Sus scrofa: one gene and its partners. The protein of the gene in region 3 interacts with the protein of the main gene of each other region in a pairwise test. Links are inferred from orthologs where the notes say so. Each region holds a gene or a part of one and is shown on either strand. Other genes may lie near its edges.

The links.
Region 1: the proteins of CCDC102B (region 3) and CCHCR1 interact in binary tests that used the Homo sapiens proteins (3 or more experiments, as listed by UniProt). The link is inferred for Sus scrofa from reciprocal best matches to the Homo sapiens genes CCDC102B and CCHCR1.
Region 2: the proteins of CCDC102B (region 3) and PSMA1 interact in binary tests that used the Homo sapiens proteins (3 or more experiments, as listed by UniProt). The two-hybrid records come from large-scale screens. The link is inferred for Sus scrofa from reciprocal best matches to the Homo sapiens genes CCDC102B and PSMA1.
Region 4: the proteins of CCDC102B (region 3) and WDYHV1 interact in binary tests that used the Homo sapiens proteins (3 or more experiments, as listed by UniProt). The two-hybrid records come from large-scale screens. The link is inferred for Sus scrofa from reciprocal best matches to the Homo sapiens genes CCDC102B and NTAQ1.
Region 5: the proteins of CCDC102B (region 3) and MAGOHB interact in binary tests that used the Homo sapiens proteins (3 or more experiments, as listed by UniProt). The two-hybrid records come from large-scale screens. The link is inferred for Sus scrofa from reciprocal best matches to the Homo sapiens genes CCDC102B and MAGOHB.
Region 6: the proteins of CCDC102B (region 3) and HMG20B interact in binary tests that used the Homo sapiens proteins (3 or more experiments, as listed by UniProt). The two-hybrid records come from large-scale screens. The link is inferred for Sus scrofa from reciprocal best matches to the Homo sapiens genes CCDC102B and HMG20B.
Region 7: the proteins of CCDC102B (region 3) and CCDC120 interact in binary tests that used the Homo sapiens proteins (3 or more experiments, as listed by UniProt). The link is inferred for Sus scrofa from reciprocal best matches to the Homo sapiens genes CCDC102B and CCDC120.

What each region holds. Positions count from the first base shown.
Region 1 is NC_010449.5:23,547,848-23,551,970, forward strand, and holds part of CCHCR1 (coiled-coil alpha-helical rod protein 1), read right to left. Parts: intron 3,588-4,123; coding exon 3,424-3,587; intron 3,325-3,423; coding exon 3,189-3,324; intron 3,001-3,188; coding exon 2,890-3,000; intron 2,682-2,889; coding exon 2,532-2,681; intron 2,078-2,531; coding exon 1,967-2,077; intron 1,883-1,966; coding exon 1,776-1,882; intron 1-1,775. UniProt on the Homo sapiens protein: May be a regulator of keratinocyte proliferation or differentiation.
Region 2 is NC_010444.4:44,742,591-44,746,713, reverse strand, and holds part of PSMA1 (proteasome subunit alpha type-1), read right to left. Parts: intron 4,091-4,123; coding exon 3,989-4,090; intron 3,603-3,988; coding exon 3,499-3,602; intron 1-3,498. UniProt on the Homo sapiens protein: Component of the 20S core proteasome complex involved in the proteolytic degradation of most intracellular proteins. This complex plays numerous essential roles within the cell by associating with different regulatory particles.
Region 3 is NC_010443.5:153,689,673-153,692,613, reverse strand, and holds part of CCDC102B (coiled-coil domain-containing protein 102B), read left to right. Parts: intron 1-2,605; coding exon 2,606-2,713; 3' UTR 2,714-2,941. UniProt on the Homo sapiens protein: During interphase, forms fibers at the proximal ends of centrioles to maintain centrosome cohesion. During mitosis, dissociates from the centrosome following phosphorylation to allow centrosome separation. Contributes to CROCC/rootletin filament formation.
Region 4 is NC_010446.5:15,981,706-15,985,828, reverse strand, and holds part of WDYHV1 (protein N-terminal glutamine amidohydrolase), read left to right. Parts: intron 1-577; coding exon 578-702; intron 703-4,123. UniProt on the Homo sapiens protein: Mediates the side-chain deamidation of N-terminal glutamine residues to glutamate, an important step in N-end rule pathway of protein degradation.
Region 5 is NC_010447.5:61,424,327-61,428,967, reverse strand, and holds the start of MAGOHB (protein mago nashi homolog 2), read right to left. Parts: upstream 3,270-4,641; 5' UTR 3,081-3,269; coding exon 2,987-3,080; intron 2,062-2,986; exon of another isoform or gene 2,005-2,061; intron 334-2,004; coding exon 275-333; intron 1-274. UniProt on the Homo sapiens protein: Required for pre-mRNA splicing as component of the spliceosome. Plays a redundant role with MAGOH in the exon junction complex and in the nonsense-mediated decay (NMD) pathway.
Region 6 is NC_010444.4:75,095,135-75,100,040, reverse strand, and holds the start of HMG20B (SWI/SNF-related matrix-associated actin-dependent regulator of chromatin subfamily E member 1-related), read left to right. Parts: upstream 1-1,483; coding exon 1,484-1,851; coding exon of another isoform or gene 1,852-1,907; intron 1,908-2,359; coding exon 2,360-2,468; intron 2,469-2,969; coding exon 2,970-3,173; intron 3,174-3,886; coding exon 3,887-4,007; intron 4,008-4,336; coding exon 4,337-4,383; intron 4,384-4,663; coding exon 4,664-4,736; intron 4,737-4,906. UniProt on the Homo sapiens protein: Required for correct progression through G2 phase of the cell cycle and entry into mitosis. Required for RCOR1/CoREST mediated repression of neuronal specific gene promoters.
Region 7 is NC_010461.5:43,136,280-43,141,121, reverse strand, and holds the start of CCDC120 (coiled-coil domain-containing protein 120), read right to left. Parts: upstream 3,181-4,842; 5' UTR 3,132-3,180; intron 2,959-3,131; 5' UTR 2,917-2,958; coding exon 2,868-2,916; intron 2,721-2,867; coding exon 2,587-2,720; intron 1,131-2,586; coding exon 987-1,130; intron 582-986; coding exon 287-581; intron 1-286. UniProt on the Homo sapiens protein: Centriolar protein required for centriole subdistal appendage assembly and microtubule anchoring in interphase cells. Together with CCDC68, cooperate with subdistal appendage components ODF2, NIN and CEP170 for hierarchical subdistal appendage assembly.

The DNA of each region.
Region 1 (4,123 bases), on a different chromosome or scaffold from region 3:
ACCAAAGCCCACAGCCCAAGAAGGCATTAAATGACTTTACATCTTTTTAAGCGAACTGCAAAGCTTATTCTCACAATCTGCTTTTTCTTTTTTCTTTTTTGTCTTTTTAGGGCCGCACCCACGGCATATGGAAGTTCCCAGGCTAGGGGTCAAATTGGAGCTATAGCCGCCAGCCTACACCACAGCCACAGCAACGCAGGATCCGAGCCGAGTCTGTGACCTACACTACAGCTCATGGCAACTGTGTCAAGGTCAGATCCTTGACCCACTGAGTGAGGCCAGGGATCGAACCCGAAACCTCATGGTTCCTAGTGGGATTCGTTTCCTCTGTGCCACGACAGGAACTCCTTCTTTTTCTTTTTTGTCCGCGCCAGTGGCACATGGAAGTTCCCAGGCGAGGGGATCAAACTCAAGCCACGGCAGTGACGAGGCGCAGATCCTCAACATCTAGGCCACCAGGGAACTCCTCACAATCTGCTTTTTGATCACTATTATGTATCAGAGATCAAAGTTATCCTCGCCAACCAATCCCTGATGCCAGCGAAGGCCAGGTCCATGTGCTTTATCAGCTGGCTGGACCCAAAGCAGCTGGGTGGCTCTTGAAAATCAAGAAGCCTAACCAGGGCCCCTGGGAGGAGGGCATCCCTAGCATCCAGCACTAGGTGGGGCTGGAACTCCCTAGGAGAGTGCAAGTCTGCGCCAACAGAAAAAGAAGCAGATGACAAAGGGTGAGGTTGTATCCCTAGCAGCACAGCAGACATCACTTTTATCTGGAAATTATTTGAGCAGGTGCTTCCAATACACTGTGGCTCTTATGAAACCCTTTTCCTGATAGCATCTCCAAGCCATCAAGAGACTAATAAATCTGGCAACAATCTGAGATTGGGTTGGGCGTGGTTTTTTTGTTTTTTTTTAGGGCCAAACATGTGGCATATGGAAGTTCCCAGGCTAGGGGTCGAATTGGAGCTGCAGCTGTTGGCCTTCGCCACAGCCACAGCAATGCCAGATCTGAGCCACGTCTGCAACCTACACCACAGCTCATGGCAACACCGGATCCTTGACTCACTGAGCAAGGTTAGGGATCGAACCCGCATCCTCATGGATACTAGTTGGGTTCGTTACCTGAGTCACAACGTCAGGAACCTCCTAAACCTTCAACTGGAAAAACAAACAACCAACGCCCCCCACCCCGGAACAGTTCTGAAGCCTCCTAGGCTCTATTTAGTTCAAGCTGTTACATGACTAACTGTAAGAGGAAGTAATAGCTCACTTCCAGTCAAACACACAATGATTGGGAATCATAACAAGTGACCCTGGTGTGACTGTGGGATGGGGTTACCCCTTAAGAATAAACAAACAGGTTTTAGGAGTTCCCATTGTGGCTTAGCAGCTAACTCTTCCAACTAGCATCCATGAAGATGCAGGTTCGATCGCTGACCTCGCTCAGTGGGTTAAGGATCTGGCATTTCCATCAGCTGTGGTGTAGGTCACAGACACGGCTCGGATCCCGAGTTGCTGTGGCTGTGGTGTACGCCAGCAGCTACAGCTCCTCCTGGACCCCTAGCCTGGGAATCTCCATATGCCGTGGGTGTGGACAGAAAAAGACAAAAAAAAACCAAAAAAAAACCAGGTTTTACAGGGCTAGATACCTCCAGCCCTGCATCCTCCACGTGGCCAGCTTTTTGGCCCCTCTTGCCCAAGGTTCTTGAACTCCAAAGCGCCCAGGAAGCCAGGGAAGCAGAAATGCCACTCTACCCACCCTCCACCCCAGACACCTGCTGACGGCATTGGCCACAAGCTTCAGCTGCTCCTCCGCCTCGGCCGTCTGCTGCTGCCTCCGGCGCCGGGCCTCCTGAGCGCGGCTCAGCTCTATCTGCAGGGCCTAGGAAGGAGGCAGTAAAGAGAAGGGTCCCCTTCCTGGGGTGTCCCTGCTCTCCCCTGGCCTCTGCCTGTCTCAGACGCTGACCTTGGCGCTCATCCGCTCCACCTCCACCTCCGCGGCTTTGTCTTGCAGGGAGCGCTCCAGGATGGCCCGTTCCTGGCCCTGGGTTTCAGCTCTTTCCTGGAGCTCTGCCACCTGGGGGAGGACAGGAGGCAGGTCTAGACCCAAAAGCTGTAGGGGGGACACTGGGAAGGGGTCAGGGGCAGAGGTCTCGGAAAGAAGGCCGCAGAGGGAGACAAAGCTTGGGTTCCTGAGACTGGAGTCTGAGTCGGGATTTCCCTCCAGAAACATGGTCCCTATACCCACACCCTGAGGAAGCGCCCTGTGACCCACCCACAAGGACCCATGGCCTCTGTTCATGCCGCCCACCCATCCTTGAATGCTGTCGCCTCCTCAGGTGACCATCCCACCTAAGGCCGGCCCACCTCACAAAAAGTAAACCCCACAAGAGCAGGTCCTTGTCGGCCTCTGCTCAGGGCGGTGCAGCCAGCATGTGAGAAGCATTCAGTAGGTATCTACTGAATAAATGCCAGCCCTAAGGAACAAAGAGCTGGGGGAGAAGACGGGGAGAAAGAGGGTACCAGGCCACCTGTCCCTTCAGCTGCTCCACGCATCCTCTGTGCTCCAGCTCCTGGGCCTTCAGCTGCACCATGAGGGCGAACACCTTCTCCCGCCAGCGCTTCAGCAGGGCCTGGCACTTCCTGGTGAACTCGGGCTCCAGGCAGTCTGAAGGCTGAACCTGCGGGTGGAGGAAGTGGCGGGGAGTGTGGGCTCCTGGGGAGCAGAGGAAGCGGGTGGGTTTTGTTTCTTCTGTCCTGCCTAGGCCATTGGCAGCCACAGCAAGAAAAGGCATTCAGGGGAAGACGATGCTGGCAGGTTCGGGGAGGGGCACGCCAACCCCTCCCATGCCTGGGGTTGGGGACAGGGCAAGGCACCCAGGGGCCTACCTTGCGGGCCAGCTCCTCCTCCTGTATGCAGAGGATGTGCGTGAGGCTCTGCACGCGCACCTGCAGCAGCTCAGCCGTGGTGTGCAGCCCGTCCCGGTCCTCCTGCAGCTGCTACAGTGGAGTGGGGGTAGGGGGAGGGCAGCCGCTCTGTTGGAGCTCCCAGAAGCCCTCAGGGATGGCCAGTCTGGGCCCCGGTCACGGCACTGCCTTCTCTCCCCGGGGGCTGTATTCTGCTCCAGCGGCCCCCTTGCCCAGGACCTGAGCCCTCATGTCCCACCCCATGCCCAGCACTCTCTCACCTGCACAGTTTCTAGAAGCTCCTGTCGCTCTGATTCCCACGTCTGGCTGTGGACCTCGGGAGGAACCTGCTCCCCCACATATCTCCTTAGGTTCTCAGCCAAGGTCACCTGAGCCTCCAAGGCCTCTTGGGTCTTGCTAGGGTTGGGGTGGGAGCAGGGTAGCCATCAGTGGGGCACCCTGGAGACCCACCCCACCCACCAACTGCTGGACCCCCTCGGCCACCTCCCTACTCACCTCAACTGCTGCCGCAGCAGCTCAGCCTCCCTCTGGGCCGCAGCCAGCTCCTTGGCTTCCTCTGACCTCCTGGTTTCCAGACTACTCAGAGATTTCTCCAGGCCCCCAGCCTTGTGAGTCAAACTGGAAAGAGCCTCCTGGTGAGCCTGTGTCAAGGAGGAGAGCTGTGGAGAGAAGGGGGCGCTCAGCAGGGCCTGCTGGCCCACAGCTGGCTTCCCAAGTCCTCCTCCCGCCTCAGTCCTGCCCCTCACCCCCACTTCCTATGACCTTGGATGACGACCCAAGAAATCACCCAACGGCACACGACTGAATGGAGACCGTCCTTAGCGCCTTACTCCCCCTCACCCCGGCAGGTCTCCCCCAAAACACTGTCACTCCTCTCCATATCCAGTGCCACCAACCTGAGGTTAAAAACCACCCTCATTTCTGGACAAGGACAACTGTCTCCTGACTGGTTTTTAAAAACCACCAGTGGTTTACCCAGACCAAAACCCAGCTTCTTCCCTGGGCCTGTGAAGCGTGTTGTGCCTTGGCCTCTGCCTGCTTCTCTGAGCTCACATCCTGTCCCTCCCTGTGCCCACTCTGCTCCAGCCGCCGTGCTCTCCCACCGTCCCCGCAACAAGCCCGCCCTTTCCCACCTCGGAGTCGACCCAGAGGCTTGGCTTCCCCCAGCTCTTCAAGTCTTGGGGACACCATCCCC
Region 2 (4,123 bases), on a different chromosome or scaffold from region 3:
ATTTTTTTATACCAACTCTCCTTCTAAATTTTAAATGTTCTGTTTGAAAAGTGACTAATCTTAAAGTTTTCATAATCTCACGTTTATAATTAAATGTTTCTTAGCTATAGATAAGCTTTGTCTCACAGCACTTTATAGAATAGAGAAGGATAAGCAAGAGAAAAAGAACAATCTCTCTTCTTTTACCCTTGCCACTGTCAACAAGACTGTTCATTCAAAAGACTGTCTTGAACTAGCAAAAACAATACTTTTTTTCCTGAAAGCTGACAAAAAATTCCCCAATACAGCCAATACAAGAAATAGAATCCATTCCAAGGTATCTCTTAACATTAGCCTGCCAACATTACTTCTATCCAAAAGGAATACTTTAGAGGAGATATCAGACACCAGACTGTTGAGTCTCGCTGTTAAACTTGACAAGATTCAAGCAAGTATAACACTGAGGAAAAGGAGATTCATGTTTTACAATTAAAGCCAAGAGGATAAATAAGAAATAGGTACGCAGAGTTCCCACTGTGGCTCAGAGGGTTAAGAACCTGACTAGTATCCATGAGGATGTGGGTTTGATCCCTGGCCTCGCTCAGTGGGTTAAGGATCTGGCGTTGCCACAAGCTGTGGTATAGGTGGCAGATGTGGCTCGGATCCTGGGTTGTTGTGGCTCTGGTGTAGGCCAGCAGCTGCAGCTCGGAATCAGCTCCTAGCCTGGGCCCTTCCACATGCCACAGCTGTGGCCCTAAAAGAGAAAAAAAAAAAAAAAAAAGAAAAAAGAAACAGCTATGCATTTTTCTTTCATCTTGCTTTGTTTAGCTTACATGGATGTCACATCTGATGATCAAATGCTGGCTGCAGAAACCAAACTACTTGTTCACTACTTTAAGTTCACTTCCCAAGACTGTCTAAAACTGCACTGCCCTATAATATGGCAGGTACTAATTACATGTGACTAGTGAGCACTGAAAAAGTGGCTAGTCTGACTTGAGATATAACTATAAAATAAACATGAAATTTCAAAGACTTAATAAAAAAACAATGTAAACTATTTCATTAACAAAGTTTTTATGTTGATTACATATGACACAACAATACTTTGGAGAGATTGGGTTAAATAAAATGTCTGACAATGCGACATATTTTAAAACAGCTAAAAGAAACCAGTAATGCTATCACTATGTTGCTGACCTAAGAGAACAAGGAGCTTGCCAGACAACTTGAAAATTTTAAACATTAGCATTATTATTTACCCTTAGTGTTTATATTCTTTCTTTCCTAATTAAAATCACAGACTTAAGTGATTACTTTCCCCCTACTACCTCCCACACAACACCTGAAAGACACTGTGGGCCAAGAGGAAAATAAAGAACTCTTGGCTCTGGCTATTGCCAGGACTAGAGTGGCTGGTTCTAGCAGTGACACAGAGCTCAGAGTGGCTGAGACCCTGTGAGGTAATGACAGAGCCAGGGCAAATAGGAGGAGCAGGGGGTCTTTTCACTCCTGCCCAGGAAGCTGGTGGTGCAGGCCAGTAGATGTGACTGCCCACTAAGCGCAAAGCAGTAGCAATTAACAAAATCGAACATGCTAACAAGAGCACTTGGGTGGTACCAAGTGTGAGCCTTGGGAAGTTTGGGAAAGCCTCATCAAAACAACCAGGCGTCAATGACCAAAATCAATAGCAACAGGACTCTAGAACAACTGTAATCCAGGCCTCCTCCCAGGGGCCTCTATTTACATTCCCTATTTCTAAGGTGGAGGAGAAAGGGAAACAAAGTCTCCAGAACCACAAGTGGCAAACCAGCAGCACACCTGATGGTTTTCAATACTGGCTGAACACAATTACTGTGTTCCCAGCCCTGGGTGATGGAGGGGCAAGGGGCAGAGCGCGGCAGCCACTCACTCATGCCACAGCCTCAACCTCGGATTCCGATTTGCTCCAAGTTCCTCTGCAAAGACATCTCACAGGCCATTGAGAGCAGTGAGGGAAGAGTCTGGGTTCTGGCAGCGTTGAGTCCAACCACCAATCTACTCCACATCCCCAGGCAACACACTGAGTCGCATGCCTTAGGGTCCTATCATGGGCCATGCCCCCTCACGGTAGCTCTGTGATCACCGCAGGGGACTGATATACTGGGACTGTCAACTGTGCAGGTGCTATTTACAGGTATGAAATGATTATCATTTAGGCCTCATTCAATCCAATAAATGTTTACAAAGTTACAATAAGGGAAGATTTTAAGAACCAAAAAAAAAAAAAAAAAAGGACCCTTTGTCAAGTGCTCCACATGTTAGGCTATTTATCAATAAAATACTAAGAAAATTAGGAGTTTAAATAATTAGACCAATATCAGATACTAAGTGCTAAAAGTGGGAACTAGGAGTTTCCATTGTGGCTCAGCAGTAAGGAACCTGACTAGCATCAATGAGGATGCTGGTTCAATCCTTGGCCTTGCTCAGTGTGTTAAGGATCTGGCATTGCCATGAGTTGTGGGGTAGGTCACAGACAGATCTCAGATCTGGCATTGTTGTGGCTGTGGCTGTGGTGTAGGCCAGCAGCTGCAGCTCTGATGTGACCCCTAGCCTGGAAACTTCCATATACCTCAAATGCCACCCTAAAAAGCAAAAAAATAAAAATAAAATAAAAAACAAAGGAGTTCCCGTCATGGCTCAGAAGAAATGAATTTGACTAGCATCCATGGCGACTCAAGTTCAATCCCTGGCCTTGCTCAGTGGGTTAAGGATCCAGTGTTGCCATGAGCTGTGGCGTAGGTCGCAGATGCAGCTCAAATCTGGCATTACCATGGCTGTGTTGCAGGCTGGCGGTTTCAGCTTGATTCAACCCCTAGCCTGGGAACCTCCATATGCCATGGATTCGGCCCTAAAAAGTCAATAAAAACAATAAACAAATAAATAAAAGTGGAAACTAAAGTCTGTGTGATTCCAAAATGTCAGTTCTTCATTTACATAATGCCTCTCAAATAGAAATAATCTCTATCTGGTCCCATACAGAAGTATACCTGTTACTCTCCACTTTCTTCTGTGTATTAGACATAGAACTGATTCTAATTTCCTAGAAGATGAGATCTATATCTCATTCACTTTTTACACCCTGCAGCATCCAGTACTGAGCTTTGCAAAAAATAAACATCAAATAAATACTGGTGTATTAGAGAAAGCAAAGGTGGTTCATCTGATCCTCGCAAACCCAACAAAAGTGTCAAGCTCTTCTCAGACATAATATCAAACACTATACACTGAGTTAACAAGTATCACATCATTGAATGACTTCTCAAAGGCATTAATATTAGTATGGCTAATTCTATTAGTTACTACACAGAGGATCAAGAAATGGGATACTGAGTAACTGAGCCCAACTTCACTAAGGTATACACAATCTTCTAAACATTCTGGCAGAATAGAATACCTGTAAAACATCTGGATCTTTTCTAGAATATAATCAATTATGAATCAAGAGATGTTTCCTTTGTTTTTCATGATCATACTCACCATAACAGTCTAGCATCGGCAGTAAGTCCCGCAATTGAGATACCGATATGGTTATCAACATGGAGGATTTTTTTCTGATGAGCTGCAAGTTCTGATTGTGCCCTCTAAATAGACATTATTTAAGACAGAAAAACAAGTTTATAATTTATTATCTACATAGTGAGACTTACATTTGATAGTTGGGTTTTTTGTTGTTTTTTGTTTTGCTTTTTAGGGCCACACCTGCAGCATATAGAAGTTCCATGCTAGGGGCTGAATTGGAGCTGCAGCTGCTGGCCTACACCACAGCCACAGCATCAAAGGATCCTAGTTGTGTCTGTGACCTACACCTCAGCTCACAGCAATGCCGGATCCTTGACCCACTAAGTGAGGCTAGGGATCGAACCCACATCCTCATAGATACTAGTTGGATTTGTTACCGCTGAGCCACAATGGGAACTCCCAGTAGCTCTTTTTTAAAAGAGGAAGATATATTTATTGCTTTACTTACCTTCAATGCAACCAGCACTGCATGGGTTTTTGATTTCAGACCAACTGTTGCTGAACCTTGTTTGACGGCTTCCATTGCATATTCAATTTGATGAATCCTGCCCTAAAAAGGAAAAAAACCCAATACACCTTAGAG
Region 3 (2,941 bases):
TCATTATTAGCCTATTACATTATTCTTCTAGTTTTATCTTGATTTTGTATAATATATTTAAGATCTTTCTGAAAATTAATATTTAATGAGGCATGAATGTTCAGCATTCTGATTTGTCCCAAATAATGACATTGGATACAAGATTACATCTGTAATGTAGCAAAATTAGCCTGTATGCTTAGCTTACTAATTGTATAAGAACTTTTAAGTAACATATAGGATATATTTGTACTCTATTAAAGACTTCTGTAACATTTATGTAACAAAATAGATAACATTCTATACATTCTATATATTGATTTGAATAACTAACTTCAGGTAAAATATGCTGTTTAAAATGCACCATAAGCCTAATACATTAACAAATACATGCTACCTAAACACATGCAGAAAAAATTATATAGGATTTGTAAAAAAAAAAAAAAAAAAAATTCTGGTTCAACATTTATCCATATAAAGTAGAAACTAGGACAAGTCAAATCCACCAAAAACCTACACAGGTTAGATAGGGAAGAACTTTGATGGTAAGAAAGCAAACTTGGGTTATGGATATAAAAGTAATTCTATGAGGTATACATGTAAACTTGAGAATTGTCCATGTCCAAAAAATGCATTTTAAAAATGTCTCGGTGTTTGACAAAATAAAGATAATATCTAGAGTTCCCGTCGTGGCGCAGTGGTTAACGAATCTAACTAGGAACCATGAGGTTGCGGGTTCGGTCCCTGCCCTTGCTCAGTGGGTTAAGGATCCGGCGTTGCCATGAGCTGTGGTGTAGGTTGCAGAAGCGGCTCGGATCCCGCGTTGCTGTGGCTCTGGCGTAGGCCGGTGGCTACAGCTCCAATTCGACCCCTAGCCTGGGAACCTCCATGTGCCGCGGGAGCGGCCCAAGAAATAGCACAAAGACAAAAAAAAAAAAAAAAAAAAAAAAAGATAATAGCTGAGAGTTAATTTTGATATATTTTAACAATGTTCACCTCATGGGCACAAGTAATTGATGAAAAAAGCTTAGAGAATGATAATTACCACATGAGGGTATGAGGAAAAATAGCTTTTCCCTTGGAAAATAATAACAGCAACTCAACTCTATATAATTCCTTTTCTTGCTTAAAGTGATTTAACCTGAATAACACTGGCCAAGGCATCAGAGAATTGGGATCAGGTTTCATATTTAGCAGTAATTTGAGTCAGTACATGGTAAGAAAGATTTGATTACCCTTACAATGTAATTAAATACTACAACTATTAACTTTATTTGACTCTAGTGCCATAGCTCAGCAGTCTGCTTGGAGAGACAAGATTTTTGTCCTGAAGCTGCAAAGGCATGAAAATATCCATAAAATTTTGAAATGTTCAATTGGAGGAACACGGTTGCTAGAAATTTTTTGTGGAAGAGAAACCGATGAGACTATCTAAACCTACCCCATAGAATGTCCACTCAGGCTGAATGACTTGGCCACTTAATTAAACACCTAATAAAATGTGTTTCTATATAGAAAAATAAACTTGGATATTTACCTCACATCATGTGCAAAAATTCAGCTTGGTCTAGGATTTAAATGAAAAATACAAAATTGACAAGTTTTAGTTAAAAATACAGGTTGATATTTCTCTAAACTTTGAGTAGGGAAGTAATTTTTACCATTATTAAATACATGCTAATCATAAAAGAAAATAAATTTAATAAAATAACCATCTAAAGATCTCCTAAGTAATGGAAAAATAAGTTATAAACTCATTAATGCTTGAAGACACTTGAAACACAATTGACAAATGGCTAGTATTGAGATTATAAAATAAGCACATACAGATAAAAAAGAAAGGGAAAAGGTCCCAACAGTAATGAGCAGGAGGTCTGAATAGGCACAAAAGAACAAGAGCATTGAACAAATGAAAATAAAAAGAGGTATCAAACATAACTTACTGATGAAGGACTGGCAAACATTTTAATATCTCACAACATCAAGTACTGGCAAAGATGTGCCCAATCAGGTTCTCATATAATTGCTTTTGGGAGGCAAATTATTTTTATAATATAAAGCCAAAATATCTCTCAAAATGATTAAACATCAAAAAATATAAGCTGGCAATTCTCTTCCTAGATATGTCTCCAGAGACTACTTTGTACATATGCATCAGAAGACATGCACAAGAATGTTCAGAGCAGCTAAAGGATCTGTGTAGAAATACACACACACTATTTATGCATATGTATATAAATATGTGTGTATATATATATATGGGCACATGTATATGCTACACTTAAATATATAGTACACACATGCAAATAAAACTATATATTTTCAAAATCATGAGAATAATCATAAATTCCAGCACAGTGACTCATATAGGTGTGGGAACCAAGCATAGAAATAGGGGAAGAGTACCTCTATAGAAATATTTTCTCAAGTATACTAGAGTCCATGCAGATGTTTATTTTATTATTGACTATATGGACTAGTTCTATAATATCCTCATATATTTATTCACATATACAAAATAAACTCTTGCATAAGAGTGTATCATGCAAAAACTAGAGCTTGTTTTCAGAAGGATTTTTTTTTATTTCAATCATCTTAACTGAAGCATTTTCTATTTTGCTTTCAGCTTGGTGATTTTCTGAATCAGATCCACAGGCTCCAGATATCTTTGGATGAACAGCAAGGAAGAAATGAAAACTTGGAAATTAAACTAAGGCGCTTACAAACCTGGTAGTTATTTCACAAAATGTGTCAAATTTAAGATTGGGATCTTAGATAAGGAAAACTTGAGGTCCTTTTTTCCTATTTTCTTAAATATCCATAATATATTACTTCTGTTAATGGGAAATATTAATGAAAGAAATTTACAGACATTCAATACTTAAATTTATGGGTTTCTTAGCTCATTATTTTTCCCCAATAAGCATTACATGTTTTGATAAAGATAATTTAAATATCACTT
Region 4 (4,123 bases), on a different chromosome or scaffold from region 3:
TTTTGTTTGTGTGTTTGTTTTTGCATTGGTTTTATAAACATCAGTTGTCTGGGCTTCACCATTTAGTCGAGGTTTGAGAATGATGTGCTATATAGAAGATTCAAAATGTTTTAAAGTTTTAAATGTTGTCCGTTGTGTAAAAGGTTGGCAGTCTTTTAAAAATTTGTGTGATGAGATCCAAAACATTTTTCTGAAAGTTGTTGTGGGGCTCTCTGTCCTTTTCTTATTTTTGGGGGGAGTGTGGTGGGATGGTGTGGGGTGGGTGAGTAGGATGCCTTATGATGCCACCGTGGAGAGCGCTGTGATGGCAGTCTCTGAAAACTACCCTTTGCCCCTGATACACAGTTGGGAAAGTAAAGGCAGCTAGATATATTTCCATGCCTTTGAAGTTTGGGTTTTCAGCTGATCATTTCTCACGCTGTCTTTAACCGGTATTAAAGCAGCATGTGTATGTTTTTGTATCACAGAGTGTATAAAAAGGCCTGCGTGGTTTTGTTCATGTCATAGAACACGGTCTATGTAAGAGCTGAGTTAGGATTTCAGCTGTGATATAAAATGAATGTTGGTTTGTGTGTAGGAAATTCCGAGTGATCCGTGCAGATTCGTATTTGAAGAACTTTGCTTCTGACCGATCTCACATGAAGGATTCCAGCGGGAACTGGAGAGAACCTCCTCCGTCCTATCCCTGCATCGAGACTGGAGGTGAGCCACGGCCGCCCCCAGGGGGTTCCCGTCACTGTGCAGATGAGCGCGTTCCCTTAACCAGGGTCAGGAAGCACATTGTTCTTTGGGTAAGACCTCTGGAGAGCTAAGGAGGCAAGAGGGAGTGTCGTTCTGTGTATTCATCGGATTTAGGAATCGAGGCACGGAGAGCAGGACTGGAGGGCACCAGAACTCATGGGAGAGGAACGGTGTTAGGGCCCAAACCCTGGCACCATTGCTGGGACATTGGGCTTCGGAAGGTCTGCGTGTTCGAGTCATTTAACAGCGGGACTACAAGCATCTTGCCACGGGAGGGTTTCATGTTATGGGGAGGAAATCCCAGCGCGTCTTTGGAATGTGTGAAATGTCATTTCACTGGCTCTGTAATAAAAGCTGCCTAAGAAGGAGGTGAGAGCTAGCAGGTTTTATCGTCCCACTCATCTCATTTATGTGCTTTTAGGCATCAGTCCAAATAGTAATTCTTCCAGATTTAAGCGGATAAAGGGTTCTTCACCTCTTTCTGTTGCTTGGCACTCACCTGAAGCTGGAAACATTATTTATGATGGGAAGTAATTGGTAGCGTTGCCTTTAATTGGTGAAATCATCCTCTCACATGGATGAGGCTGTGTGAGTCAAACTGTTCTGTAAGCTGTACAGGATGCCGGAAAAATAGGACAGTGGTGTTCGGAATTCAGCAGTGAAGAGAGTAAAAAAAATATTTGGCATGTTTGAGGGGAGTGAAGACTGAAAGAGGATTCAAACTCTGATTTTTGAGGCTCTCTGTGAAAAGCTCTCATAATTTTAAAAATTTATATTGGAATTGATTTTGCCTCACCAACCGGGTTCCCAACCTCAGGGTTAGAATTGGGACAGCTGAGGTCAGGAAGGGGCCTCAGGGATCTTGCCTTCAGTCTCACTCACCAGGCTGACAGGGCCTGTGGCAGCTCTAAGGCAGAGTTTGGTGCGTAGTAGGCCTTCAGGAAACAACACCTTCTCAGCCCCTGTCCTCTGTGAGTCATTTCTTTGGGTTTGATGGCTACTACCCAGTAGGTGCTGTTTTGGGAGAGGCTTCGGTGCCAGCCCCTTTGCATCTTATTTTGGTTTAATCTTCACCACAAGAGGCAGGCTTTGTTTTCCACACTTGCCTGCCATACAGACTGGCGCACAGGCAGGTCAAGCCTGCTTCCCCAGCTGGAAGGCCTCCAAGTCCGGTAGCACCTTGTGATCGGGTGTCAGTTGCCCCCACCCTCGTGTAGCTAGCTCATCAGAGGCCTCCTGAACTTGAGATTGGAGCTCAAAGGAATCTGCTCCAAAGTGTGGGGTAAACACACTGGTTTCTCATGTCGTAATTTACTGTGTGTTCTCTTGTATGGGACATGCATTACTGCAAGCCCTGTCTTTATCAAAGCAGTATATTTGAAATTAGGTTAAGGGGGAATTACTTTCAGCTAGTTAGGGTTTTATTTAAGAAAAAACGGTTAGGAAAGAAAAAATGGTTCAAGAAAACATCACACTTCACCTCAAATATGTTGTTTAGATAGTGTGTCATTTTCCTCTTAGGTCAGTGATGTTCTGTTCATCTTTTTCAGACTTTTTCTGTATGTGCTTCATTTTCAGTAATTATTTTGCTTGTAAATTCATTGATCTTAAATCCTTTTGCGGTGCATTTTTTTTTTTCCATTTTACGTGTTTGTTTTTTCATTTCTAGATGCTCCATTTGGGGCTGATTTACTCTCTCCCCTTTTGGTCTTTGTCGTGCTCATGTTTAACTACTCTTTTGAGTAAATGGAGCCTATTTATAATCGCTGGTCCTTGTCTGCTGATTTCTCTCCTGGTTTTGAGTTGTATTTTCCTGTTTTCTTTGTATGACTCCTAATATTTGGTTGGCTGCTGGATTTTGTGCATTTCACATTGTCAGCTCCTAGATCTTGGGTTACTTTAAGAAACAGTCTTGGATTTGGTTCTGGCCCCACTTAAATTTCTGAGGGTCAGGCGGGTCCTTTCAAGGCTGGCTTGTAGGCCGTTTCCTGCGGGTTCGAGGTGGCCTTTGGCTGCTGCTGATTTAGCTTCCCCACTCTCGAGTGACCTTTCTGTGGATTCTCCCAAATGCCTGAGGGCTGGAGGGGTGTTGTTAGACTGCTTTCTGCTGCTTCTTTCCTGGACTTGTGAGATCAGTCCTTAGCCAAAGACTTGGGGGTAAAGGGCTGAGGCGCCTCTGCAGGTCTCCAGACAGCTCTCTGTGTAGTTCCCGCCTCTCTCACACTGTCCCCAGATCTAGCTGCCCTGGCCCCCTCAACTTAATTTTTTTGTTTTTTTTGGTTGCATGTGCAAGTTCCTGAGCCAGGGATCAAACCTGTGTTACAGTGGCCACCCAAGCCACAGCAGTGACAATGCCGGATCCTTAACCTGCTGAGCCACCAGGGAACTCCAGGATTTATTTTATTTTTCATTTTTTGCTTTTTTAGAGCTGTACCTGTGGCATATGGAGGTTCCCAGGCTAGGGATCAAATTGGAGCTGTCGCTGCCGGCCTATGCCACAGCCACAGCAGCATGGGATCCAAGCTGTATCTGCGACCTACACCACAGCTCATGGCAACACCGGATCCATAACCCATTGAGCAAGGCCATGGATCGAACCCGAACCTCATGGTTCATAGTTGGATTCGTTTTCACTGCGCCAGGACGGGAACTCCCTTTAGAGTCTTTTTGATATGTAGAGATTCGTAGTCCAACTCTTTTTTTTTTTTTTTTTTGGTAATTTATATGTTGGAGAAACTGAGTCTGGGAGAAAATGGTGTGGGTTTTGGTGATTGTATCTCTTTTGTGTTCTCTGAATTCCTATAAATTGGCAGTTGCCTCCAGTAAACTGGCAGTTTGCTTATTTTTACAGGTTTTCATTTAATTTTTTATTTTTGAATAACTTTATTTTTAGCCTACTAGAGAATTGGTTAAAAAATAAAACACTGCAGTTTTTCTATACCTTTTGGTCAGATCCCAGGGGAATCTGAGAAAACCATAGTGTAATTATCTAAACCAAAAAAATAATACAGTTGATACAAAAATATTGCCACAGTGCTCTTAACTTACAGACCTTATATAAGTTTTGTAATTTTTCCCACTAATTTCTTTTTTTTTGGTTTAGAATCTAACCCAGAATATTACATTTATTTGTCATCTCTCCTCACTCTCCTTCAATCTGTGACACTTTTTGTTTTTTCTTTGATAACTTTTATACTTTCAAAGGGTACTGGTCAGTGATTTTTTTTTTTTTTTTGGTCTTTTTAAGGCCATACCCACAACATATGGAAGTTCACAGGCCAGGGGTCGAATTGGAGCCGTAGCTGCCAGCCTACACCATAGCCATAGCCACAGCCAGATCTGAGCCACATCTGCGACCTGCATCGCAGCTTGCTGCCACCCC
Region 5 (4,641 bases), on a different chromosome or scaffold from region 3:
GATTATCAATTAGTTTTAAATGACAAATAGGGTAAAAGACAAAGTTAGTTATGAATAAATTAAATAATATGCTCAAATGTGGGACTACAATTTAATATATTCAGATTGCTTCTTTTGTTGTTACAGATGCTACAACTGGAATCCCTTTTCAATCTACAAATTAGCTGCTTTTTTACAGCCTTTAATGTACTTTAAAATATGTAAATAAAAACACAGACAGGAGGAAAATGGGCTTAATGCAAAAAAAAAAATGAAACATTTGAAAAGAACTTACCTCCTTTCTGATCATGACATCATTTTTATAATTGCTGTTGTTGGCGTATCTAAGTTTTCCTGTGGGGAGTGGAAAAAAATTCAATCTAAATAGCAAAAACTGCTAAAAAATAAAATAATGACACTATAAGCAATTTTGAAGGTAGAAACCATTTTATACTATTACTTGTATTAATATTTCCTACCTCCTAGCATAAGATTAATGCTGGATATATGTTGGCTAAGTTGAAGCCAGGCAACTTTTTAAATTCATGCCTTCAATTATAATTATACAATGGGAGGGTCATTTTCAAGGCCCATTTTCTTAATCTATATCACGATCTCAACAGGGAATCTGAAAATGGAACTAATATTTCTTCTAAGTTTATATGTCTTATTTTTGCTAAGTTATTTACCCAGAGCATTTAACCTAATCTGAAAAAAAATAAATAAAAAGTAGGTTTTATTCTTTATTCACAGTTGAGAAAACAGGGAGTTAAATAACTTGCCCAGGGTCACACAAGATTCAAATCTAGATATACCTTCTTAATACTCATGCTTTCCCCACTGTTCTTTTAATTATTTTCCTTCAAATGAATGTGTGTATGTATTATGGCAATGCTAATATTTTAGAACTATGGTAAAGAAGAATACCAACTATGTGCAGCTTCTGGATAAAACTGGCCGTTTTGTTAGCTGATATATACAAATTTAGGTGTACTCCTTGAGGCATGCCTCTCCTCAGTCAGTTGCCCAGGTACAGGTGTACTGTTAACTTTTTTTTTTTTTTGTCTATTTAGGACCGAATCTGCAGCATACAGAATTCCCACGCTAGGGTCGAATCAGAGCTGTAGCCTCTGGCCTACACCACAGCCTCAGCAATGCCAGATCCTTAACCCATTGAGTGAGGCCAGGATTGATCCTGCACCCACATGGATACCAGTCAGATTTGATTCTGCTGAGCCAGGAGGGGAACTCCAAGATGTACTGCGATCTTTATCCTCTAGAATGATAGGTTACCCTGATGAGGTCCCTTAGGAATCATTGTTTATAGGACTCATTATTACTGACAGAAGTATGTGGAATGGTGGGGTGGCAGATGAGAGCTATTGTCCTGGAATGAAATTTCCCTGATAATATTAGACTACCTAATTTATGTGACTGGCTAAAAGTGATACAGACACACTGATAGTTGTTCACAGGCAAAAGTCCTGAAAACAATATCACATAAAGAACAGATGAAGGCATTTCCTTCGTGGTGCAGCAGAAACAAATCAGACTAGGAGCCATGAGGTTGTGGGTTCAATCCCTGGCCTTGCTCAGTGGGTTAAGGATCCCGTGTTGCCATGAGCTGTGGCGTAGGTTGCAGACGCGGCCAGGATCTGGTGTTGCTGTGGCTCTGGCATAGGGCAGCGGCTACGGCTCTGATTAGACCCCTACCTGGGAACCTCCATACGCCAGGTTCGGCCCTAAAAAGACAAAAAAACAAAAACAAAACAAAACAAAACAAAAAAAACCCAAAAATACAGATGAAGAATTCAGGTAAATCTGGCCCCTTAGCTAAATTTAGAAAAGACTTGGGTAGAATGAGGGAGACTAAGGTAATTAAGGTTTCTAAATAATTAGATGTAGCTACCCTGACTTCTACCTAAAATATCTGATATTCTCTCATTTTTCTAATATGTGATCCTCCCCTAATTTTTCTTTTGCGCTTTCACAGAACTTTGTCCAAAGCATGAGCACAGCACTTACCATCAGAACTGCCTTATGATTAGTTTCACGTTTGTGTCACTCAGCAAGATTTAATTCCTTGAGGGGAATTAAAGAACCCGACGCATTAATATAACCTCAATTTTTGTTTTTACATGTTGCCCAGCACATAACATGCACTCTAAAAAGAAAAGCCTATGCCGCTTTTAACAAGACTGTTCTTGTTACAGTAAGAGTTCTATATACAGTACAACTATCTAAAGAGAATCAGAGCTGTCAAAAGATGTAAATTGCTGCCATTACTTGGGCAGCAGGCACTTTCACCGGCTCCTGCAGCTCTCAGGAGTCCGACTCCTTTATTTTCCCTCAGCGTCCAAGACAATATCTACTCTCATTTTGAGACTCATCTCAACTGTCACCTTCTCTAAAGATGACCCGACTCTTTCATCCAGAACTAACCACTCCCCCGTTTTTGGAGTTTCAACGCATGCTACATGGAACAACTATATTTAAGCACCCAGAATACATCGTTACACTCATTTCTTTTACATGTCCCGCTTCCAGTTCTGAACAGCAGATTTTTTTTTTTTCTATTCATGCTGCCTTACATACAGCGCATGAATGAATAAAACGGACGCATGGGTAGTTCGAAAGTTACTGTTCACCGCAAGATTTAAGCATCCACAGGCCCACCGCGTGGCGGGGATGTTCTCATAAAACGTTCGAGTATTAGGTCGATTAATTGGATGGCCTTTAAGGTCCCTTCTGGTGAGCAGATTCTAGGATTCTGATTACTGTAGGTTCCATTTTAGTATCTGGCAGTATAGACTTTTCTGAAATAACTTACACCGATTAGTTACCTTTTACTCACAAAACCAATATACTCTCCGATATTCTTAAGCTCCTCAGCCCCAACGCACTCTCGCCAAGCCCGCGGAGGCTCGCCCTCCCCACACCGCCTCCTCCGCGGCCTCTCCGCCTCGCTTCCCCCAGCTCAGCACCGCTCAGGAGCGGCTCAACTCACCGTCCGGCCGAAACTCGAACTCCAGAAACTCGTGTCCAAACTTGCCCTTGTGTCCTACGTAGTAGCGCAGGTAGAAATCGCTGGCCATAGACATCTTGGTCCCCGAAAAGCCCGCCGAAGGCCCGGCCAACGTGCTACAGGGCGCCTGGCAGTGACGTCAGACGCTCAGGATAAACACGTCACTGCGAGCGCGGCCATTCCGCCTCCCGCATCCCCAGAGGAAAACCGGAGGGCGGAGTCTCGCGAGAGAGACTAGGCGACGCCGTGGGAGGGCAGCAGCGATGTGGACTTTGGTTTATTAGAATGAAAAGTACGTTATGTTCAAAATTAGATAGGTCATATTATATTAGGAAAGAACAGCAGTGTGAGCATATGCAAGCATTTGTTATGGGTTTCGAGCTAAGGTTTGCAAATCGCTCTGGCTTTTCTGGTCGGGTCTCTAATTCTAGGAGCATCCCTTGAAGTGGGTGTGGCCTTATTCCCCTTTTTTAGTGGGATGAATAAAGATTAAACCTGAAAACTGGAATAGCAAACATCTTACATGTTTATCATCTACAAGGTACTAAAGTTTACTTTCTCTGCTTTTTATTTCATTTAATATCCACAGCAGGCCTGTGAGGTATCAACATTTTCCTATTACAGACCAAAAACCAAATGCAAACAGGCTTTGAGAGTTTGGATAATTGGGTCATTGCCCAGCAACAACAACAAAATTTTGAGAGCCAAGATTCAAGTCTACGTCTGCCTAACACTAAAGCCCATATTTTTTCTCTGTTAGTTTGCTACAAAGTACTTTCACTATCAAAGATTAATGTAAAGACATTAGAGAAAATCGTAGTCAAGTCCTGTAAAAACATACTGTCAAAGTAATAACAGGAAAGAAAAATGTGAATATTCGAAATTATCACTACAAAACACATGTTAAATAAGTGGGAATTAAAATGCACATACATATAAAATATATATGTTCAAAGCAAAACATGATTTTACTGAAATTAAAAAAAAAAGATACAAAACATGATTTTACTGAAATTAAAAAAAAAAGATACAACCTTAGAACGGCAAGATTTGAAGTACAGCCCGCTCTCCTGCTAGATTTTTTTTTTTTTTTTTTTTTTTAGTCTTTTTGCTATTTCTTGGGCCACTCCCACGGCATATGGAGGTTCCCAGGCTAGGGGTCCAATCGGAGCTGTAGCCACCAGCCTACGCCAGAGCCACAGCAACGCGGGATCCGAGCCGCGTCTGCAACCTACACCACAGCTCAGGGCAACTCGGGATCGTTAACCCACTGAGCAAGGGCAGGGCCGAACCCGCAACCTCATGGTTCCTAGTCAGATTCGTTAACCACTGTGCAACGACGGGAACTCCTCCTGCTGGATTCTTAACACAGGCCTTTCCTCTTCAGACGAGAATTGCTAGTTATCTAGCATCTAGAGGTTAATAATAATAAAAGCAAAGTAAAAAGAATCCATCAAACAGGAGGCCTGATGAAAGGTACATTGAAACTGAAAATCTCTGACAATCATGGTATAAAAGAGTTTCTTAAATAGTAAAACATTTCGTTGAATAAGTGTTTATCCTCGGTGGCCTCTGGAGTTTTGGCAATTTTAATGGTTTAGCCCATGTTTCTTATGGGAGAGTTAAAATTCAATTAG
Region 6 (4,906 bases), on a different chromosome or scaffold from region 3:
CTGAGCCTAATGTTTTCAAGGCTTATCCCGTCATAGCATGAATCAGCAATTTATTCGTTTTAAGGCCAGTAATATTCTATTGGATGGATGGACCACATTATTTCCCTATTAACCAACTGATAGATATTTGGGCTGCTTCCACTTTTTCACTATTGTGAGCATCAGGCTGCTGAAAACATTCATGTGCAAGTTTCTGTATATAGGTATGTTTTTAATTCTCCTGGGTATATCCCTAGGAGTGCAATTGATGGATGGCATGGTAACTCCATGTTTTCTTTTGCTTTTTTTTTCCAGCTGCCAGATTGTTTTTCAAAGCAGCTGCTCTTGCTTGTTAGAAATTTACATGATTCATTCAATTGTTTATTCAATGACTATGTATTAGAGCACCTGTGGGCACTGTTCTGGGTGCTAGGAATACAGCAACGAGCAAACAGGCAGCTCATATGGAGAAAAGATAAGACTGGTGTATGGGGTGGGGTACAAGCCTTGGAAAATATCACTGAAAAGAGGGACATTTAATCTCGGGGAGGGACACTCCAGGTAGAAGGAAGAGCGAGTGCAAAAGTCCAGAGGAGGGAATGAATGAAACGGATGTACGTGAAGAACAACGAGGTCGCTGGTGTGGAGAAAGTGAGGGGAAAAGTGAAGGGAGGTGAGAGCAGGGAGGTGATCTGGACAGATTGTTTAGACTCTAATGAACCATCACGAACACCCAGTGGCCACAACTACCATTCTGGGCGCAGAGGCAACCCCGGTCCATGCTGTGAGAAGATCGGGCTGCTGCCTGGGGTTCCTCAAGATTCCGGGGCAGAGTCTCCTAGCCCTCCACCTTCATGAGGTCCTTGCAGCCTTCCTGTCCCCACCACCTTTCCCCAAATGCTTCCAGCCCAGCTCCCAGTCTCAACCTCGCAGCCTTCTGGTCCTGGACACTACAAAACCCCTATTGCATAAAAGGAAAAGCTGAGGCCCCTGCATCCAGAGGCCTCCGGCTCAGAGCAAGGCAGGACACGACCGCGGCTCCAAGTCCAGTCAATAAATGGGAAACTTCCCCGCCAGGTTTGCTAAGAACATATCCCACTTTGCCGTGGGGAAAGGAGCTGCTCCCAAAGATCAACCCCTTCCCTAGCAACCTGCCGCCAGCCCCATGGCAACTAGGGCCGAGCCCGACACAGCCCACTGGTCCCGGGATCCCGCAGGGGCGTGGAGTCTCCCCTTTACGTACGAAGGAAAAATTCTTGCCGCATCTACTGGCCCTTTAAGAGGCTCCGCCCCGGCGGTGCCTCAAAGCATCCTGATTGGTCCCGAGAGCGGGCCGAGCACAGCCGAACTTGACGCACCCGCCCGCAGCCTTTCCCACTAACCTCCCACGCGGCTCAGCGTCTGCCCCAGCCAATCACCAACGGGCGCGCCGACCTTCATCTGCATGGCCACGCCCCATGGGTAGGGCACACCCAATCCGACCGCTCGCCGAGCCTTTATTAGCATGCCGGGGGCGGGGTGGGGCGGAGCAGGCGGCAGGGGCGGGCTTGGAGCGGTTGGTTGGAGCGTCGCAGCAGCCGAGAGGTCCGGGAAAGTTTCTTTCGAGGTGAAAACAGCCGCAGAAGTCGGGGCCCTGCGAGAGAGCGGGGGGCGTGGGGGTCCCAGGATCAGGGCGGGGCCCCTCCCGAGCCGGGGGTTGCGGACCTGGGTCTCCTGGGGGGCGATCGTCCAACAAAGGATCCCTGGGGCGCCCGCCCTCGAGGGCCTCCCTGTCCCCGGATCCTGCCCCCCCCGGCATTCCGGGGCTCCACAGCCAGACCCCGCCGTCAGCTGCTCGAGAGACCCTCACTCGGCCACGATTGTGCTTTCCAGGTGCGGCCGGGAGCGGCCATGTCCCACGGCCCCAAGCAGCCCGGCGCGGCTGCCGCGTGAGTGCGACATCCCCTCCCCCAGCCCACTCTGGGCTACAGCCTGGGCGCCCCCCAGGTCGCGTAGGAGCTCTTCGACCCCTGCCCCCCACGGTCTTGACTCCCCCAACCTGGAGCAGGCCCTCCCCCTCGGGCCCTCACCAGCTTTTCCCAATTCCTGGGCTCTAGCCTTTAAGGGGTCCCCATCCTCGGATCCTGACCCCCTCAGACCTCTGTTTCCAGAATTCAGGCCCTTAGCTGCCAGTGATACCGTCGGAGGTGGGGGGTAGTGAGGATGATCCCTAGGTTCCAGACTCTCCCAGGTCCCTGTGGCTCCGGTAGTGCCCCTGCTGTCTCAGCCCCCCACCCCCAATCCTGATTACCTCAAACCCCTCTAAGGACTCAGCCCTCGAGCTGCCAGCTCCGCCTTCGGGTTTGGAGAGTGGGGTGACCCTGGCTTCCCGTGTCTCCAGGTCGGCGAGCGGTAAGACTCCAGGACAGCACGGGGGATTCGTGGTTGCTGTCAAGCAAGAGCGCATCGAGGGCCCGCGGGCAGGAGAGAAGGGGTCCCACGAGGAGGAGGTGAGTCCCTGCACTTTGGGGGCGGCGACCCTTAGCCTTGAAGCTCCGCCCCGAGTTCAATATGAATTCGCTGTGGCTCCGCCCACCGACCAGAGTTCCCTCAAGATGCTGAGACCCCGCCCAAGTGCCAAATACCACGCCACCAGAAGCTCCCCTGCCACTCTAAGCTCAGGCCCCGCCCATCGCCGAATGCCAGCTTCGCCCACTGCCAGAAGATCGCCTCCAGTACAGAAACCACGCCCACGCCCAGAGCCCACGCCCACACCACAAGCCTGCCGCATCCATGGGCTGATCCTCTGACCCCAGTCCCTTTGATCCCTTCACCCCTGGCCAGGGTTTTCCTCACCTCACTCTTCCAATCCTGAACTCTGTCCAGGCCATACCTCCAGGCCTCTGGGTCCCACCTCCTGGCTAGGACCCATCCAGGGCCATGCCCCTTCCTCTCTGGGCCCAGCCCCAGCCCTTCAGGCCCCCTCCCAACGGCCCGGTTGGGTTCTGCAGCCGGTGAAGAAGCGCGGCTGGCCCAAGGGCAAGAAGCGGAAGAAGATCCTACCCAATGGGCCTAAGGCACCGGTCACCGGCTACGTGCGCTTCCTGAACGAGCGGCGTGAGCAGATTCGTACTCGCCACCCAGACCTGCCTTTTCCCGAGATTACCAAGATGCTGGGCGCGGAGTGGAGCAAGCTGCAGCCAGCGGAGAAGCAGGTGGGGACTGCCGAGACCACTGACCTCTCTCCATACGCTCAGACACTCACCCGCAGCCACTTACCCCAAAGGAAAGGGTGTGGAGTGTCCTTCCTTCCGCCTGGAGAAGTGACCACCTATTAGCTCTCTCCGGCTTGTTAAAGGGTAGCCATACGCAGGAACAGAGGTAAACCTTAAACAATGTGGGAGTTACCTGGTGGCTCAGCAGGTCAAGGATCCAGTGTTGTCACCGCTGTGGCGTGGGTTCAATCCCTAGCTCAGGAACTTCTGCATGCTGCCTGCGTGGTCAAAAATAAATAAATAAACTACATTATACTAAAGAAGAAGGGTGGGGGCTGCATTTTCGATGGAAACCTGATTTTTAAATCTGGCAATTAATTTTAAAATTGCAAAAATATCAAGGAGAAACAAAAAAACAAAACACACCAGCTTGCACCCTCTACGTGGGATTTCAACAAGCAAAGTGGGTTTGGGAGGGCAGTCCAGCCTGGACGTGGGAGCCTGCAGATAGTCAGACACAAGGAGTGGTTTATAAACGCTGGAATTGGGGTGAAGTAGGTGAGTTCAGGGAGTCAGGAGGTGGCCTGAGTAGCAGCCTGGAGGGTGGGTTTTGTCTGGAGGGCAGTAGGGAGCTGTGGGAAGGGTCAGAACAGTGAGCTGAATGATGGAGATGGGGTAGACTGAGCCAAGCCTTCTCTTGCTGCTCCCGCTAGCGGTACCTGGATGAGGCCGAACGGGAGAAGCAGCAGTACATGAAGGAGCTGAGAGCGTACCAGCAGTCCGAAGCCTACAAGATGTGCACGGAGAAGATACAGGAAAAGAAGATCAAGAAAGGTGCAAAGGGCCCCAGGCACAGCTGAGTGCCTGCTGTGCAACCGGTGACACAGGCAGACCGACCTCCCCCTTCATGGGGCTTTCACGGGCCAATGGGAATGAGACCCACATAACCAGACAGTTGTGAGTGAACAGGCCTGATCAGCGCTCAGATGGGACACACACAGACACTGGGGAGCCCAGGCTTCGAGCTTGACCCAGGAGGAGTAGGGCTGATTGGGGGAGGGGAATGGTGGTGTTCCAAGCAGGGGGAACAGCACATGCAAAGCAAAGCATAGGTTCAGAGGAGGCCTGGGAGGCTGACCCCGCCCTCCTCCCTTCCCCACCAGAAGACTCCGGCTCCGGGCTCATGAATACCCTTTTGAATGGACACAAGGTGAGCTCCCCTCCTCCGAGGAGAACACCTGAGTGGGAAAGGTCTGGAGGTATTTAGACCCCTGGGTGAGCGAGGACCAACGCTCATGGGATGAAGTGAGCTCCCGGTCCACATGTGTGCAAGCGGAGGCTGCGCGGCCACGCAGGGGGAAGGCTCTTAAATGGACTCTAACCCAGGTGGCCTGAGGAGACCCTTCCAAGCTTAGGGGATGACCCAGAAGGGGTTTGGCTGCCCCTCACCCCCCACCCCAGAAAAATGCTACCTTGTCCTGTCGTCCCAGGGTGGGGACTGTGACGGCTTTTCCACCTTCGACGTCCCCATCTTCACTGAAGAATTCTTGGACCAAAACAAAGGTAAGTGCTCACCAGGGGTTCTTAGGAGAGCAGGCTGTGGGAGGGAGAGAGGATGGGCCAAGAGGGCGCAGAGGTGGAAGGCGGCGGGTGCCTTCCTCCCCCGCCCCGGGAGCTGAGGTGGGGCTGGAGGCAGAGCAGTGAAGGAAGGTCTGGCTGATGGGCACAGCTCT
Region 7 (4,842 bases), on a different chromosome or scaffold from region 3:
TCCTCCCCGCCCTGCACACTTCCCAGAAATCCACTTTCCACTAAATCCAAGACCCCAGAGGCTTGGTCCCTCGCCATCCTGATGCCTGTTCCCGATTGCCGATTGCCCGATTGCCGGAGCCTTGCCAGGGAGTCAGTTTACCACAATTCGTCTCACTGGGAGGGTCCCTGAAGTTCGGCCTTCCTCCCACTTTGCCCTGGCCGCTCACCCACTCCACCCCTACCACGTCCCTGAGCTAAGGCCCACCCTCCCACTTTCACCAGTGGGATGACAGGGCCATGCTCACCTTGGCTGAGCTGGGCAAGGCGCGTGCCCAGGCAGACTCCCTGGGCGGTGATAACTGCCCCACTGGAGAGTGGCAGGGGCTGGGGTGGCTGGAGCCCTGGGAGGCCCAGGCGGGCCCGGACGTCCCCAAGCTGCTCCTCTAGCTCATGCAGCCTCCGCAGAGCATCTGCCTGCACCTGGCGCCGGCGCCGGCGCTGCTCAGTGCTCAGCTCGGGGGCCAAGGCCAGGCGGCGGGCAGCGGCGGCAATCTGCTGCTGCACTGACACCTCGCGCTCCAGGGCCTCAAGCGCCAGCTCCTGCGGGGCCCACCCAAGAGGATGGGATGGGACCAAATGTTGCAAATGGCCAAGCACAGGGACCAGGCAGTGACAGAGCAGCCCCCCCCCACAGCGCCAGCCCCCTGAAACGCTGGGGGCGGGGCCTGCCCTTGCTGGGGGCGGCCCATTCCCCCTGGAGGGGGTGGGCAGGGCCAGTGTTGAGTAGGGCTGGGCCTCTCCTTCATCTTCCTGGAGGTGAGTAGGGGCCAGCATCCTCTCTCAGACCTGGAACCCACCTCCCTCAGGCTCCTTCCCTTCTCACCTTACTTAGCCTCTCCTGGACACAAGCAACCCTGTCTCTGCTTCCTCTGGGCTCCTGTCCCACCTCCCCCCCACTCCCCTCACCCCCCCAACACGTTTTGCTCTGCAGGCCCATCTGCTCACCTCGGCAGGGCACAAGGAGTGCTGTGCTGGGTTGGGGTGCGGCGGCGGGGGGTAGGCTCGGGCTGCAGGAGGCCGCCGGCGGACCAGCTGGGGCCGTTCACCAGGCTCCAATGGGCACTCAGGGGGTAGCTGGCCAGTCAGCTCCTGGGTGGGGGCAGGAGCCAGAGACTACCAAGGGTTAGTTGGGGGGATGTGGCAAAGCAGTGATGACCCCTAAAGCTCCAGAAGTCCTACCAGGCGCCCAGCCCGGCTCAACACCCATGCTGGTTATTTCTCTTTTTCCTCCCAGTTCTCCAGCAGATGGGTGTGTGGCAGAGACACTCAGCAACTCAGTGGCCCAAACCCCTGGGGTGGTGGGCACGGGAGGCAGGGAGACCTGCTTTGGAATCCAGAATGTCTCTGTATAAAGGTGACACCATCTGTATACTGCATATTATATGACACTCCCTTCAGGGCCTGGGCTGCATGCTCTGAATTGCTTTATTATTTCTGGTAAACTGTAGGGACATTCACAGCCAGAGGGGTAAATTAGGAGTTCCCGCTGTGGAGCAACGGGATTGGCGGCATCTTGGGAGCACCAGGACGCAGGTTCGATCCATAGCCCAGCACAGTGGATTAAGGATCCTGCTGTTGCCGTGGCTGCGGCTTAGGCCACGGCAGCTCGGATTTGATCCCTGGCCCAGGAATTCCATATGCCGTCGGGGGTGGCCAAAAAAGGGAGGAAAAAAAAAAAAAAAAGAAGGGTAAACTGAAACTATAAATCACCCCATGTCAGGAGTTCCCGTCGTGGCGCAGCAGAAACGAATCCGACTGGGAACCATGAGGTTGCAGGTTTGATCCCTGGCCTCGCTCAGTGGGTTAAGGATCCCGCATTGCCATGAGCTGTGGTGTAGGTCGCTGGCACAGCTCGGATCTGGCGTTGCTGTGGCTGTGGTGTAGGCTGGCAGCTACAGCTCCAATTCAACCCCTAGCCTGGGAACCTCCATATGCCGCAGGTGTGGCCCTAAAAAAGAAAAAAAAAAATCACCCCCTGTCAGTTCAGGTCAGGTTTTAGTGCCATGTTTTGGAAATAACTTAGGGGTTTTTTTTGTTTTTGTTTTTAGGTGTTTTTGATTTCAAGTTGTTGACAGGGGATTGGTGGTAAACTATTACCACAGTTTATTATTTTTTTTTTTTGTCTTTTGTCTTTTGTCTCTTGTTGTTGTTGTTGTTGTTGTTGCTATTTCTTGGGCCGCTCCCGCGGCATATGGAGATTCCCAGGCTAGGGGTTGAATCGGAGCTGTAGCCACCGGCCTACACCAGAGCCACAGCAACGCGGGATCCGAGCCGCGTCTGCAACCTACACCACAGCTCACGGCAATGCCGGATCGTTAACCCACTGAGCAAGGGCAGGGACCGAACCCGCAACCTCATGGTTCCTAGTCGGATTCGTTAACCACTGCACCACGACGGGAACTCCACCACAGTTTATTGATTCTAAGACACCTAGGCTGAGTTTTGGGGAACCTGCAGCTCAGCCAAGCGGCTTGCCACCTCTGTCTGCCTACCTGGCCCCGACTCCTTACCCCCTCTCCCCACACCCATAGGGTCAGGCTCTCACCGCCTCCTGGAGACACACTTTCCGTAGCTCCTGAAGTTTCAGGCTCAGGGCCTCCTGCAGGGCCCGCTGCCGGTCAAGCAGCCCCCGCAGACGCTCTGACTTCACTTGGGGCGCGGCCTCTCCAAACAGGGCAGCTGGATACAGAGGGCGCAAAGGTCGGGGTGGGGGGGCAACCAGAGCATCCTGGAGCAGCTGTGGGGCCAGGGACCAACCCTCCCCCAGCGGGCAAGTGGGGACTCAGAGCAGGGGAGGAGGCAGCAGGAGGGGGCACGGACACCGACCTGAGGCATTGAAGGTGGGAGAGCTGATCAGCTGACCTTTGACTTCCATCCTGGTGCCGTCAAGAGGCCGTGGCTGATGGCTGGACAAGGCCTGGCAGTGATGCACAGGAGCCATGAAGGAAGCACATATTGCGTGTGTCCCCAGCCTCCACCCTGACCCAGGGCCTGGCACCCCAGCTGGGAAGAAGGGGTACCCCGAACCCACCCGCCTGCCTGGCCCAGCCTGCCCTCGCAGAATCTGGGTCAATGTCAAGGCCCTGGTACCTTGGTTCCCTTCCCATTGAGTGGGAGAACAGCAAGTGGGGAGCTGGGCGGACTTACAACGCCTCTTCAGAGGCCCATGGGCTGCAGTCAGGAGTCCTGCCTGGGAAGGGAGAATTAATGGTACAGAGTCAAACAACTGTAACAACAGGGGGCCTTTACTGAGCACCTGGGTGCCTGGAACAGTTACCTTCTACGCCACACTGACTCTTCTATGACCTCCCCGGGATGGCAGCTCCGGGACGACTGTCACCCCTATTTTAGAGATGAAGAGAGTAAGACACAGAGAGATGAAATGACCTGTGCACGCCTGAGGATGGACCCCGCCAGTTCAGCACCGTTCCTCATGAGAGGGGCCGAACCCCGCCAGTTTCTCATCAGCTCCCAGCCCATCAGGCCCTCCAGGCCTCTGTGCGGGCTGCGCTGCCGTCCAGAGGGCTCTTTGCGTCTCTCGCCACACCAGCCCCTGGCGCTCTCTTACATTCTGGGGCTTCGATGTCACTTCCAGAGGTGGGCTCCCACATTATGTCCCCTCACAGCTGCTGTCCAACAAGACTGTGCCTCCCTCGTACTTTTATGAGGACAGAAAACCCCTCTGTCCTTTTCTTTTCCCCCCTTTGGCCACGCCCCTGGCATGCAGCAGTTCCCAGGCCAGGGATGGAACCTGTGCCACAGCAGCGACCTGAGCCTCTGCAGTGATAACGCCGGATCCTTAACCTGCTGCGCCGCAAGGGAACTCTGCCTGCCCTTTTTTCATCAGTACCTCTGGCACTCAGAACACTTCTGTGCATACAGCAAGTGCTCAGTGAATGTCTGCTGAGTGAATAAAAGACTGGCTGTGGTCTGTGGGTCTCCACTTGTCCTAACTCCATCCTGTGGCCCTGGTGTGGCAGGGAGAGCGTTCACTTGGCCGTAGGACACCTCCAGCCCCACCCCGCACCCCAGCCAGTCCTGTTCCCAGCATAAGGAAGTCACCCTGCCGGGGCTGGGAGCGGCAAAGTCCACAGTGGCAGATAACAAGCCTCCTGCCTCCTTTTCTGCCCCAAGACGCCAGGACTGACCATGGAGCCTGCCTTGGCTGGCCGCCAGCCCTGCCCTCATCCCTTCCTCTGGAGTTTGCTCCCTCCCTCCTCCCAGAGCCTGCTCAGTCCCCAGCTGGGGAGCCAGGTGACATCACCTCCCACCACCTGGCCTGACCTCGGTGGCAGGAGATTGGGAGGAGATTGGGAGGACCTTGTGAGGCCACAGAGGTCCCATCCCCACCTACCTCGAAATCCCCAGCTTGTCAGGACATGGTGGCCAGGTGGGGAGAAGACCTAGGCAGCCACGAAGGCATGAGTTCAAGCCCCTCCCCCACATAAACACTGGGGGACGGGGCCCAGCTGCTAATAGGGTGCCAGCAGTCCTCCCACCCACCCCATGGGGGTCTGTGCCCCTCCTACAAAGGAGGGGTTCCCTCTTCTCAACATCAGGGGCAGAGTCTCTCCCTCAAGCCTTTTTGCGCGTCAACGTCCACGCAGTAGCGTGTGCTCTGCAGAAGCGCTCACATGCCCCCCGCTCCAAGGTCTGACATCACCTGCCGTGGCAGGGTTTCCATCAGGTCCCAGCTTAGCCTCCTCGGCCCCCGGATTCCTGGGGTTCTTTCTTCCCCAGCCCCTATTTGAGTTTGAGGAACTCTCCCAAGGCTCTCCTATACCTTCCTTCACCCCATCAG